3 linked regions of the Oryza sativa Japonica Group genome follow. Each later gene encodes a partner of the first gene's protein in a complex. Links are inferred from orthologs where the notes say so. Each region holds a gene or a part of one and is shown in the gene's direction. Other genes may lie near its edges. The genes, in order: condensin-1 complex subunit CAP-D2, structural maintenance of chromosomes protein 4 and condensin complex subunit 2.

Region 1 (3,096 bases):
TGAGGCTGGTCTGAGATTCTCGGCATGTATAACTTCATTAATGCCAACTCTTGTCCAGTTGTTGGCATCGTCTTCAGCCACTGATGTTGAGAACACAATTCTTCTATTAATGAGATGCAGACAATTTCAGATTGAAGGTTCGGAAGAAGCCCTCCGGAAAATGTTACCTCTGGTAATGCCTCCCTGGAAGTGTAGGTTGTTTGTGAATATGAGTTAGAATGTACACTTCGTCACTTCCTTATCTTCATAAATTTTGCAGGTATTTTCTCAGGATAAGTCAATATATGAAGCTGTGGAGAGTGCATTCATCACTATATACACAAAGAAAAGTCCCACGGAAACAGCCAAAAGTTTATTAAACCTTACCATTGAATGCAGCATTGGTGACCTTGCTGCCCTTGAAAGCTTAGTTAGTTCATTGGTATCAAAAGGAGAAATTTCATCCAACACGGTGCACTCTTGTTTCCCTTCAAAGTTTGCTCATAGCAACCTTTCAAATGCTATTTTTTACAGTTTAGTTACAGTAATGCTAAGTACTCCCCCCATTCCAAAATATAGGGCACAACGATTTTTTCCCCTAATGTTGCATAATACGAGGTTCGCATGCATGCGTGCATGCTATTGACTAGCACCTCCCCCTCCTCTAAGTTCTATTTTTAAAGCCTCTACCCTCAAGATCTCTGATCTCTAATCCCATTGGGTGCATGCATTTTATTTATTGGGATGATCCAAATTAGAAGGTGATAATAATTTTTTCTTGGTTTTTGCGTAAGAGATAGTTGCTCATTATATTTTGGAATGTAGGGGAGTACTCATTTATTCTAGCACACCAATCTCCTGTGCACCAAAAGTGATTCTGCACATAGATTGAGAATGCAAGGTAGTACTAACTTGCAATTAAGTGAGTGCATTAATTGCTGAATATGCATAAATTAAGAACTTAAGATGCATGCAAAGAATATTGCTCCCAGTTTCTCCACTTTCTGATGTGAACTTCCCTTATCTAGATCCTACAGTGGGAACTTTTTTCTGTTCATCTTGAAGTATCTTTTGTTAGCTGCTCATCAAAATAATTTATATTGCCTATAACATAACTTATACCATTTTGTCGAATGTTATTTATCTAACTTCAGTGACACCTATTATCTTTTGTTGGGGAAGTTCACACTTGTTAAATCCCATTGTCTTTTGCAGATAACAGCCCTGTGGGATTATTTTTGCTTTCACATCAATGGTGTGAAACCAGTGCAAAGCCGTGGAGCTTTATCGATTCTTTGCATGGCAGCAAAGTCATCTCCCAGCATTTTGGGTACTCATTTGCAAGATATTATTGATATTGGGTTTGGACGCTGGGCTAAGGAGGAGCCTCTGCTTGCTAGAACTGCATGCATTGCCCTGCAAAGATTATCCAATGAAGACAAAGTCAAATTAATTAGTACTGGTAGTAGGGTATTCGCTGCATTGCAAGGCCTGATAACTAGCCTCTCACTTCCTGAGAAAATATGGTATGGAGCCGCAGATAAAGCTATAAGTGCCATCTACGCTTTACACCCAGCACCTGAAATCTTCGCTGCTCAGATTGTAAAGAAATCACTTAATTCTGTATTCGGTGTCTTAGGAACTGATTGCATGTCAAATGAAAATGAAACTCAGAATGGTTCCATGCTGTCATCGACACCAGCCACAAATCTGGGCAGATTTCTTTTCATTATTAGTCATATAGCACTGAATCATTTGGTTTACATTGAGACTTCTGTTAAGAAAATTCAGAAACAGAAACGGAAGAATGACAAATCAGAGCCTACTGCCGAGGATCTTCAGGCAGATGCCTCCAAAAATTCGGAGGTATTTTATTTCTTAGTTTGCTTTGTGGCCTAATCGATTTTGGGTTACCATTCTTTCGTCTGAGTGTGTATTGCACTTCTCTTTTACTGTGTGATGCTGGCAGGCACAAGGTATAAATGCTGAGTTGGGAATTGGTGCATCTGTAGATATTGCAATAGAGTCCCTCGCTGAAAAGGCAGAAAGGGAGATTGTGTCCAATTCTGAAAAGAATCTTATTGGATACTGTGCACCATTTCTCGCAAAACTCTGCAGGAACCTGGCTTTGCTTCAAAAGGTCCTAATTTGTATTGAGCTTCCTTTATTTTCTTAATGTTTTGACTCTACTACTCTCTGTTTTTTGTTCCTTACTTTTTTGTTAATGCAGTTTCCAGGGTTACAGGCCTCTGCAATGCTTGCTCTTTGCAAGCTAATGATTATTGATGCAGAATTCTGGTAAGTATATATTTATATTCCAGCTGTTTCACCTTTTCAATATGATGTGCTCCAGATATTTATATTCCATCAAATGCTCAACTTTCAGTGAAGCAAATCTTCAGATCCTATTTACTGCTGCTGAGAGCGCGCCTTCTGAAGTTGTCCGATCAAACTGCACTATAGCTCTTGGTGATTTAGTGGTTCGCTTTCCAAACCTCTTAGAACCTTGGACAGAGCACATATATGCACGCTTACGTGATCCTTCGGCATCTGTGAGGAAGAACACTGTGCTTGTCATTTCACATCTTATATTGAATGATATGATGAAGGTCTCTCTCTCTCTCTCTCTCTCTCTCTCGTGTGTGTGTGTGTGTGTGTTTGTTCGAACACCATGCCCCTCTCAGTTTTATATTTAAACATCTTTGCAAAATATTTATAGGTTAAAGGCTTTATTAATGAAATGGCCGTAAGGATAGAAGATGAAGACGAGAGGATCTCAAGCCTTGCAAAACTCTTCTTTCATGAGTTATCAAAGAAAGGCATGTCCAGCAAATGTGTCGGTCAAATAAATTGCGTAACTTGAATATACATGTTTGACTTATCTGACGTTTAGTTCTTTTTCTTTTTGATCTTTTTAGGAAGCAATCCAATTTATAATCTTCTTCCGGATATCCTGGGTAGATTGTGCAATCAACAACTCAAGGATGAAACGTTCTGCAGCATTATGCAATTCTTGATCAGCTCTATTAAAAAGGTATAAGCATAACTTTTTTTCTGTTTTCAGCAATTACTATGCTTTAACTGTACTTTGAGTAACTATATACATTTCTAACTGCA
Region 2 (4,324 bases), on another chromosome or scaffold:
AAATGATTCAGATCATCCAAAGTTCCAAACAGTGTTGGTGTTTACACTTTTGATATTGTAGGACCATTCTATGTATTACTAGCTTGTAAAGACGTTATTAAAGCCATTCTATGTATTATCTGTCTGCCTGGGCCGAACAGCCCATGCGCATCTCAACCAAAAAGAGAAGGAAAAAGTTCACTTGGTCACTCATCTTACCGTTAGGTTTCAAAATCGCCCATAAACTGGAATACCAATTATAATGTATCCCTAATATTTTAAAACCGGGTTACAATGGGTCTCATTGTCTCAAGACAATATTTAGAGCGGTTTGCTGACGTGGCGACTGAGTCAGTGTTGAACCCACATGTCATAAAAAAAATAATCACCGTCCCTCTCTTCCCTCCGCTCCTAATGTGATTCCATCACCGCAGTGCCCACGTCCGGGCCAGCCTCCGCCTCCGTGCCCACTGCCACAGCACTTGTCTCTACCTCCGCACCCACTATCTCTCATCTCGATGTCGCTCTAGTTCTGCGACGACGATGACTCGGGCGACGTCGACCTTGAGCCACTTTCCTGCTGCAATGTCACACCCCAAGCCGGAAGAGCCATTTGAGGTAGGGCTGCTGTCTCCAGCTACAATGGTGCTTCCCTGGTAGTGAGGTGGGATAACTTCTCTGAAGTCTTGCATACCTGGGCTCGGGTGAGGCCGCAGGTGTCGACGAGGTACTCCTTGACGGCGAATGGTTTGAGTGAGACGCGCGCAGTGGTGAGGGGAGACGATGGAGGGAGAAGGGCCGAAAAATTTCGACGAGAGGGAGAGGGGACACCCACCGTAGTAGTAGAGAAAGGATGTGTCTCCAGAGGTGAATTGTGGTGGCAGCGGTGCAAGGATCATAGCCGCGTGAAATCACAAGGCGTTGTGGTGTCAGTGGTAGGGAGCTCGCCGACGCATCAAGCCACCTCCGCACTGAGCTCCTTGCAGCCCCGTCAACTCACCGCACCTCTCCTGTTCGGCCATCGCCCACCACCAACCTCATGGAGGCTAGGAGAGAGATGTGAAAAGAGGCGGAGAGAGGTAGAAGAAGATTGGGCCACTGGCATGTGGGTTCCGTGCTGACTCAGCCGCCACATCAACTAAAATCATTATCAATACTGGCTTGGGACTTAATATGCCTCAGTTTTATAATATTAGGGATGTGCTATATCTGGTTTTCCAATTCATGGACAATTTCAAAACTCGATGACAAGAAGAGGAACCTGAAGTGAACTTTCTCCGAAGCAGAAGGCCGACCAGAAATCAGCCCAACATGAGCCCCATATAAGTTCGCACACGAAAGCAGCGCATCGCTCGTAATCCAGCCCAACTCCAGAGTCTTCCTTTTGGTCTGACACATTTGCTCGAAGCGGGAGGAAGAAAATCCTCTCGCCGTTTCAGTTTTCCCTCCCAAATTTTCGCCCAAAATTCCCAAATCCCACATTCCCCTCTCGGCCGCTTCGACTTTTCCCCAAAATCCCCCCACCGCCACCGCCTCCGCCTCCACCGCCGACGGCCCGAGATCTGCGCGCCTCCACCGCCGCGGCCTTCGTCGGGCCCGGAGCACCCGCGCCGCCCGGTCGCCGTCGCTCGGAGTTGCGCGCGCGCGGTCGCCGTCGTCCCGAGTTGCGCACCGCTTGGTCGCCTTTGTCCTCGAGCCGCCCCCCTTCAGCCGGTGCCGCCCTTGCTGGGCGAGTGATCTTCCGGCGGGCGGGCGGCGGCGGCGGCGGCTCTCGCGGTCCGGTCCTCCCTTGCTGCTGCGGTCAGGCATGGAGAGTTCCCCGCCGAGGTCACCCGCGCCCTCGCCAGGGAGGGCGGGGAGGCCGCGGCTGTTCATAAAGGAGATGGTCCTCCGCAACTTCAAGTCGTACGCAGGGGAGCAGCGCATCGGCCCTTTCCACAAGGTCTCGTTCTCTCTCTCACTCGCAAGCACACGACACGAGCGCGCAAGCTAGCTACAGTATATCTTAATTCGTCGCGCTCATAGTCATAGATGACGTATTCCCCCACTACCAATCCCCGGTTTTCGTTTGTTTTTGGCGCTATTCAGGACCCTCCAGCTGCAATGTCATGTGGTGGGCTTGCTTTTTTTACTTGACCTGTACGATCGTTGAACCCTAGGCACGGCAGTTGGATATAGCAATTTAACTTCAATTGTGATAGCGTAGGAGGTGACCACGTATACTTTCATTTGAGTTTTCCATTTCCCAGTGCCTACAGAATCCTAAATAAGTTAAAAACCGTGTTATAGCATTTTTAGGAATTCGTGTTATCTTCAGTGTGGCCGTTCTGCCTGGCCTCTAGTTTATGAAGTGAAATACCGATACGCGCATTGTTACTAGGTTCTGAACCTATGTGACGTTTTGTTTATTAGGTTCTGAATTTGTTGGTCTAGTTTTGGTCTCACGAATGTTAGATTAGAGTGGAGGTTTTTGAGTTGTGCACTGGTTTTACATTTGTTCTGAAACTTTAGAGTGGCATGGTCATACTCCATCAGTAGTATGTTTTGGGTTCACTTTGTTTTGTTTGGAGATATTTTATTATGAAGAGTAAGTCACATGGTTTAATGGCATTTGTTCTACCCAGAAATGGAGGTTCCTTATTCAGTTCTATGGCTTCTATCTGAATTTGCCCTTTCATACGTTGAAATTTCAGACCTAACTCTTTTATCCTCAGAATGTCGTTTCTGCAGTTTAACTTTCACTTGTTCTGTAGTACCTAAGATATAAGGAAAGCAACGTTTATCATAATTTTAAATTTTACTGATTTTCAAGTGCATCAATTTAAGTGGCCAAATGACTATGATTTGTGAGTAGTAACACATCTTACATTCCAGAAATGCCGTCTAACTTTATAATCGTGTTTTTATGGTGACCTGTGCAGAATTCACAATTCTTGTGTGTGTAACCATCGTGTTCTGTGCAGAATATCATTATAAACTGTTTATAGGTACTATCGATGAGTGCACTATGCTTCAAGCTCTTATGAACATAGGTCTACCACTCTGTCGCTAGGATCCATGCATCGTATAAAAGAATAACCGCTTTTTCTTGCTTTCAGAGTTTCTCAGCTGTTGTTGGGCCAAATGGCAGCGGGAAAAGCAATGTCATTGATGCGATGCTGTTTGTGTTTGGGAAGCGTGCAAAACAGGTGGGCAATATTGCTTCCTAACTGTAAATGTTTATTGATGTTCAACATTTTTCTGGTCAGCTCAGTGGCAGATTTAAGCTAATCATTGATTTATTCTATCTCAAAAAGTCATTGTATTTTTTTATCCATTCAGCGAGTGCTAGATGCCAAAGTTGGCATGTAAGTGTAAGTTATTCCCAATGTTTTTAAAGGCTGGGCAACAAACTGCTACTTTATGTTTGTTAGTGTGTTACTGATTTTGTATGCAAGGCGAAAAGTAAGCTTCAAAGTCTCTGCCCAAAGGTTTTTGAGAATTTAGTGTAATGGTACTTTCATGATAGTAAACTAGTTATTGAAGAGAAATGTATTTAATACTTGAATACAATGGGGCCCTTGTATTTCCTGTTTACTATTGCCCATTTCCTCCAAAGGTTTTTCCTTAAAAGTTTTGGATTAAATGCTATAAAATTCACGAATAACTTAAGCTCTTGAGAGATGATCTTGCTATTTGTTAGCTACTCCATATTTTCTTAATTCAGAACAACCTATTTAGGTTGTTTCAAATCATAGACTGTTTCTGACCAGTTTTCCATCATTGTAGATGCGCCTGAACAAGGTCTCAGAACTCATACACAATTCTTCTAACCACCAGAATCTAGACAGTGCTGGGGTCTCCGTCCATTTTCAAGAAATCATTGATTTGGTATTTCTTGAGCCAAGTATTTAGCATTTCATATTGCTTAGCTAGTGCCACATAATTTATTTCCCTCCCTCTATGTCCATCATAGGATGATGGGAACTACAGGGCTGTTGAGGGCAGTGATTTTATCATCACAAGAGTTGCTTTCCGTGACAACACTTCTAAATACTACATAAACGACCGTGGAAGCAATTTCACTGAAGTAACTAAACTGTTGAAGGGCAAAGGAGTTGACCTTGATAATAATCGCTTTTTGATCCTTCAGGTTTGTGTTTCTTTTTCCATTTACACATGAAAAATGCGCGTGTTTTGTAAGTTTAATTTTGGACATATGTTGCATATTATTTAGTATGTTTACATGACTATGAGGGATATAACAGACATCCATATGGTGTTATATTTTATGGTTTTGCACTGCATAACTTCCAAGTTGGGCACTTTCAGGGTGAGGTTGAACAAATCTCCCTGATGAAACCAA
Region 3 (4,222 bases), on another chromosome or scaffold:
ATGATGATTCATCTGATCGAAGCGATATGCTCAAGTGATCATGTCAATGTTTCTGTTGTGCACTTGTACTTGAATTTCTCCTTTGACGGGAGTGGGCTCCATCACACGACGGTGTCGAGCGGCTCTCCCAACTCCATCATGTTAGAAAATGATAGACACATAAACCATAAAAAACAATAAATCAATCATAAAGACATAAGATTTAACATGGAAAACCCTTCTAAAGTAGGAGAGAAAAAACCACGGTATCCCAAACCTCCGGCGACGGGCCTCCGCTTCGCTCCATTTAAAGCTGGCCTTTATTCGTGTGCAAATGAATTTGGATTACAATTCAACACTTCCATCCCATTAACTCAATATTTGAAACTTTTTACTCGGATTGGAAAACTTTCAAATCAAGATTTTAAAACTTTTAACTCGGATTTAAAAACTTTTGACTCAAGATTTATTTAATCTTTGAGTTAATGTTTTTAAAATTCGAGTTGAGAGTTTCGAAATTTGAGATGTAAGTTTTGCAGTTTGAGTTCAAATTTTAAGCTGAAAGTTTCAAATAGAAGTTTTTAAATTTGAGATAAAAGATCTAAATTGTAAAATACATTAAAAAACAGAAAAAGGAAAAACATGCGCTGGAGATTAAAAAAATCATGAAAAAAGGAAAACGCACCGGAAAGTTGGGGAGCGTGCAAAAACAGCAATAAAAAAGGAAAAATGCGCAGGGTAGGAGCACCTGCTGGCACGTACACGCTAGATAGCAATCCTCTCTCCTCATTTAGCCAAATCGCAAGCATAAACATAACTTATAAAAATCAACATTGGCTTCATGTACATAGAACCACCACCATCACGAGATAACGTTGCCAAAAATATTGATACAGATTAATGCAGCAAAAAATACTTATATTTCAGATATGAAGCTAGAGTTTTGGAGTTTTAAAAAAGTAACTGCACCCTTTGTATTTTGTGGAGTAGATTCACCCATGTTACTTTTAAAAAAATGTGGATATTTGGTTCGGTTCCTACTTCATCGGATAAACATGCCCTCATGTGGTAGATGCGGCAGGAGTAAAAAAAGAAGAAGTAAAAGAAAAAACTAGAAAATGCAGAAAAACAAGAGCAGATTATTATGAATCTTGACGAAAGCAAGGGAAAATCTAAAAAAAAAAATCATGAAATGATGAGCATACATATACTGAATTTTGTCACGACCACATGTCCTTATCTGACCAGTGGGCCCACGTGGCATAGAGAGAGAGAGAGAGAGATGCACTTCTTTCCGCCCGTTAGACAGATTCCCCCCATCGTTCCAACTCCCTCAAACCCCTTCCCATTCCGGCGGCTCTCCCCGAAAATTTGAAATCGCCGCCTAAAACCCCCCCAAAAACCAAACCGACTCAAAAAAAAAAAAAATCCCCCAAATCGACATTCCTCTCCGCGGATCGATCGGCCGCGAAGATGCCAGCCGCCGACCCCGCCACCGCGCTGGCGCCGGCGCCGACCCCGCCGCCGGCGCGCGGGACGGCGGCGGGGCCGCGGCTGCTGCTGCTGCAGTCGCCGCCGCCCGCCTTCCCGCTCGGCTCCAACGACGACCAGCTCGAGCGCGCCCGGGCCCGCGCCGCCGCCCGCGCGGCCTCCGTCCGCCGCCGCTCCCTCGCCGCGTCCCTCGCCCCCAGGGCGGCGGCGCAGCAGCAGCACGACCTCCTCAACCGCGACCAGGTCATGGACCTCTTCCACAACTGCATCAAGCTCGCCTCCGAGAACGTACGCGCCTTCTGTACCTTACCCCCCCTCGTCGTTGTTCTTCCCCACCGCCGCGCCGAAACCCTAGGGCCACTCGCGCGCGCCTCGTATTGAGTTCGCCTTCTTTGTGTTTTTGTTTTTTCCCCCTCTTTTCCGATGGGGAATTTGAGCAGAAAATTAACCAGAAGAACACGTGGGAGCTGGGGCTCATCGACCACCTCAGCGAGATCATCCAGGCCGGGGAGGAGGACGACGACGAGACCAATTTCCAGAAGGTGCGGCTGTGCTGATTTCTTCCATTTTCGACCTTCTTTCTACTACTACCGTGGGAGGAGATTTGTGACCTCTTCTGACTTCGATTGAGAAATTTTTTTTTAACCATTTTCTTGTGACCAGGCTAGCTGCACGCTCGAGGCGGGCGTGAAGATTTACTCTTTGCGTGTAGATTCAGTGCACTCTGAGGCGTACAAGGTGCTTGGAGGCATCAACCGTGCTGGAAGAGGCGATGAGGCTGGTAAATACCCACTAGAGTTTCATAGCGCTTTCCAATTTTTACTGTAGCCATTCGATTGTAATTCGATTTTATTCATGTGAGTCAGCTTCGAGTTGCAAAAGTATTATTAGTATTCTGGGCACCACTAAACTGTTTCAGTTAAATTCAAACTAAGTCAACTTACATGATAGAAATTTGGCTTTGTACCAAAAAAAATGTCCATCTATAAATTGATCGAACAATAAATAGAAAGATGTTTTAAGATTTTTTTTAAGAAATCAAGTCCCTGTGAGAAATGGCCTTTTCTGACTTTTGGTTCATTGGAGCACTCTTCAGTTTTCACGATCATGCTACTACTGTATCTCAAAACCTTAGATGATAAATGATGCACGAGGATTAGTTGAATTGCATTTGATCATTTGTTTTATTTGTTAGGCCGTGTTTAGTTTCCCCCCTATTCCCAACTTTCCATCACATCATATCACATCAAAAACTTTCCTACACACATAAACTTCTAACTTTTTTTCCAAACTCCCAACTTTCTTCAAACTTCCAACTTTTTTCAGGAACTAAAGACACCCTTAAGGTAAAAGTTAGGCAGTAATTCTGCAAATTATCATAAATACACCTTTGTTGTGCCTATAGCTTTCCCTTGGTAAATGCATGCTGCTTCATTATGATGTCCTGATTTGGTGTTTTATTTTACTTAAGATTCAGAAGAAGGTAGCAATCCAAAGCATTCACAAGAAGGTACAAACAAAAAGGATGCAGATAGGAGGGTATGCCTATCTGAATTGGTTACTGTTCGTTTTTCCACTTAAGTTCTGCTTGGTTTTTTTTCTAATAGCCTAGTGCTGTTTCATATGTGCAGATATCACCCACATCAACTTTGGAGTCCTCATTTGATTCGCTTAATGTAAAGAAGTTTGATGGTAAGCTCCAAGCAGATCTTTTAAAAACTTTTTTGCTTTGTGCTTCTGTCGGGATTACTATCATAGGACCAAAAGTTTAAAATTGTAGAGTATAATATTAATTTATTGCACTTTCTGCTAGTTGCCTTCACGGTTGATCCTTTGTACCATCAAACTACCGCGCAATTTGATGAGGGTGGGGCAAAGGGTCTCTTGTCATATAACCTCGGAGTATATGACAGTTGCCGTGTGCTCTTTGATTCGTTTGAAGCACCTGACAAGTGCATCTTAAGTGATATGCAAACTGAGATGGCTGAGTTGATTGGTCTTTCATTTGCTAAAGGTATGATTGTCAATCTGTTTCTATTCTGCTGTCTATGCTCTGCATTTTTTTATTTCCATTTAAGGTTTTGTAATGGTCTACTCTTAAACAGAGCAAATCGAGCAGATGATAATTCATATGCCCCTCTGCAATGATATTTCTCCTACCTTGAGCAATATAGTTTATCAGTTTGATGATGAAAACCGAAGACCACCTCATGAAGCAATTTCTAGGCAAATTCCAGTGATGGAAGATCAGGTGGTTGACGGTAATGATGTGGCGAATGATGACATCACACAAAATGATATGCAAAATGATTGTGGAACTTGGGATTTTGGAGGTTGTGATGATCAAGAGAGCGTGTATGATGAACACTGTGACCCAATGGATCATAGCTCCATGAACGGTCAAGAGGTACTTCCTGCAAACAGTAAAACCTAGACACATTTTGTGTGTGGTTAGAGCATGCATTTTTTGGGGGTTGACAGCTTTTGTTCTTTTCTTCTTTTTATTTCCCAATGTTTCCAATTACTGGAGTTTTCTGCGCAGTTTAAAAATCTATGAGAATTGACATTAAATGAATGTGAGAAAACATTGATTAATCATGGTATCAATTAATATTTTTTTAAGATAAAAGTCAAATTGAGTAACTTTGTAGGATGCAATTTGATGCCTATTACTTATCCATTCATTCACCATCCAATGACATTTCTTTGATTGAAATGTCTGAAGTACTCAGTTCAAATTATGGTTTATTTG

What was found.
Region 2: condensin-1 complex subunit CAP-D2 (region 1) and structural maintenance of chromosomes protein 4 share a complex: the UniProt entries of both Arabidopsis thaliana proteins name them as parts of the condensin complex. The link is inferred for Oryza sativa Japonica Group from reciprocal best matches to the Arabidopsis thaliana genes AT3G57060 and SMC3.
Region 3: condensin-1 complex subunit CAP-D2 (region 1) and condensin complex subunit 2 share a complex: the UniProt entries of both Arabidopsis thaliana proteins name them as parts of the condensin complex. The link is inferred for Oryza sativa Japonica Group from reciprocal best matches to the Arabidopsis thaliana genes AT3G57060 and EMB2795.

What each region holds. Positions count from the first base shown.
Region 1 is NC_089041.1:28,021,024-28,024,119, reverse strand, and holds part of condensin-1 complex subunit CAP-D2, read left to right. Parts: coding exon 1-172; intron 173-259; coding exon 260-451; intron 452-1,194; coding exon 1,195-1,845; intron 1,846-1,948; coding exon 1,949-2,119; intron 2,120-2,209; coding exon 2,210-2,277; intron 2,278-2,365; coding exon 2,366-2,588; intron 2,589-2,698; coding exon 2,699-2,802; intron 2,803-2,897; coding exon of another isoform or gene 2,898-2,901; coding exon 2,902-3,013; intron 3,014-3,096. UniProt on the Arabidopsis thaliana protein: Essential protein. Regulatory subunit of the condensin complex, a complex required for conversion of interphase chromatin into mitotic-like condense chromosomes.
Region 2 is NC_089039.1:24,530,200-24,534,523, forward strand, and holds the start of structural maintenance of chromosomes protein 4, read left to right. Parts: upstream 1-1,450; 5' UTR 1,451-1,786; coding exon 1,787-1,921; intron 1,922-3,077; coding exon 3,078-3,167; intron 3,168-3,747; coding exon 3,748-3,849; intron 3,850-3,934; coding exon 3,935-4,111; intron 4,112-4,290; coding exon 4,291-4,324. UniProt on the Arabidopsis thaliana protein: Central component of the condensin complex, a complex required for conversion of interphase chromatin into mitotic-like condense chromosomes.
Region 3 is NC_089035.1:19,816,782-19,821,003, forward strand, and holds the start of condensin complex subunit 2, read left to right. Parts: upstream 1-1,406; 5' UTR 1,407-1,452; coding exon 1,453-1,758; intron 1,759-1,910; coding exon 1,911-2,012; intron 2,013-2,133; coding exon 2,134-2,251; intron 2,252-2,941; coding exon 2,942-3,009; intron 3,010-3,101; coding exon 3,102-3,162; intron 3,163-3,283; coding exon 3,284-3,484; intron 3,485-3,575; coding exon 3,576-3,877; intron 3,878-4,222. UniProt on the Arabidopsis thaliana protein: Regulatory subunit of the condensin complex, a complex required for conversion of interphase chromatin into mitotic-like condense chromosomes.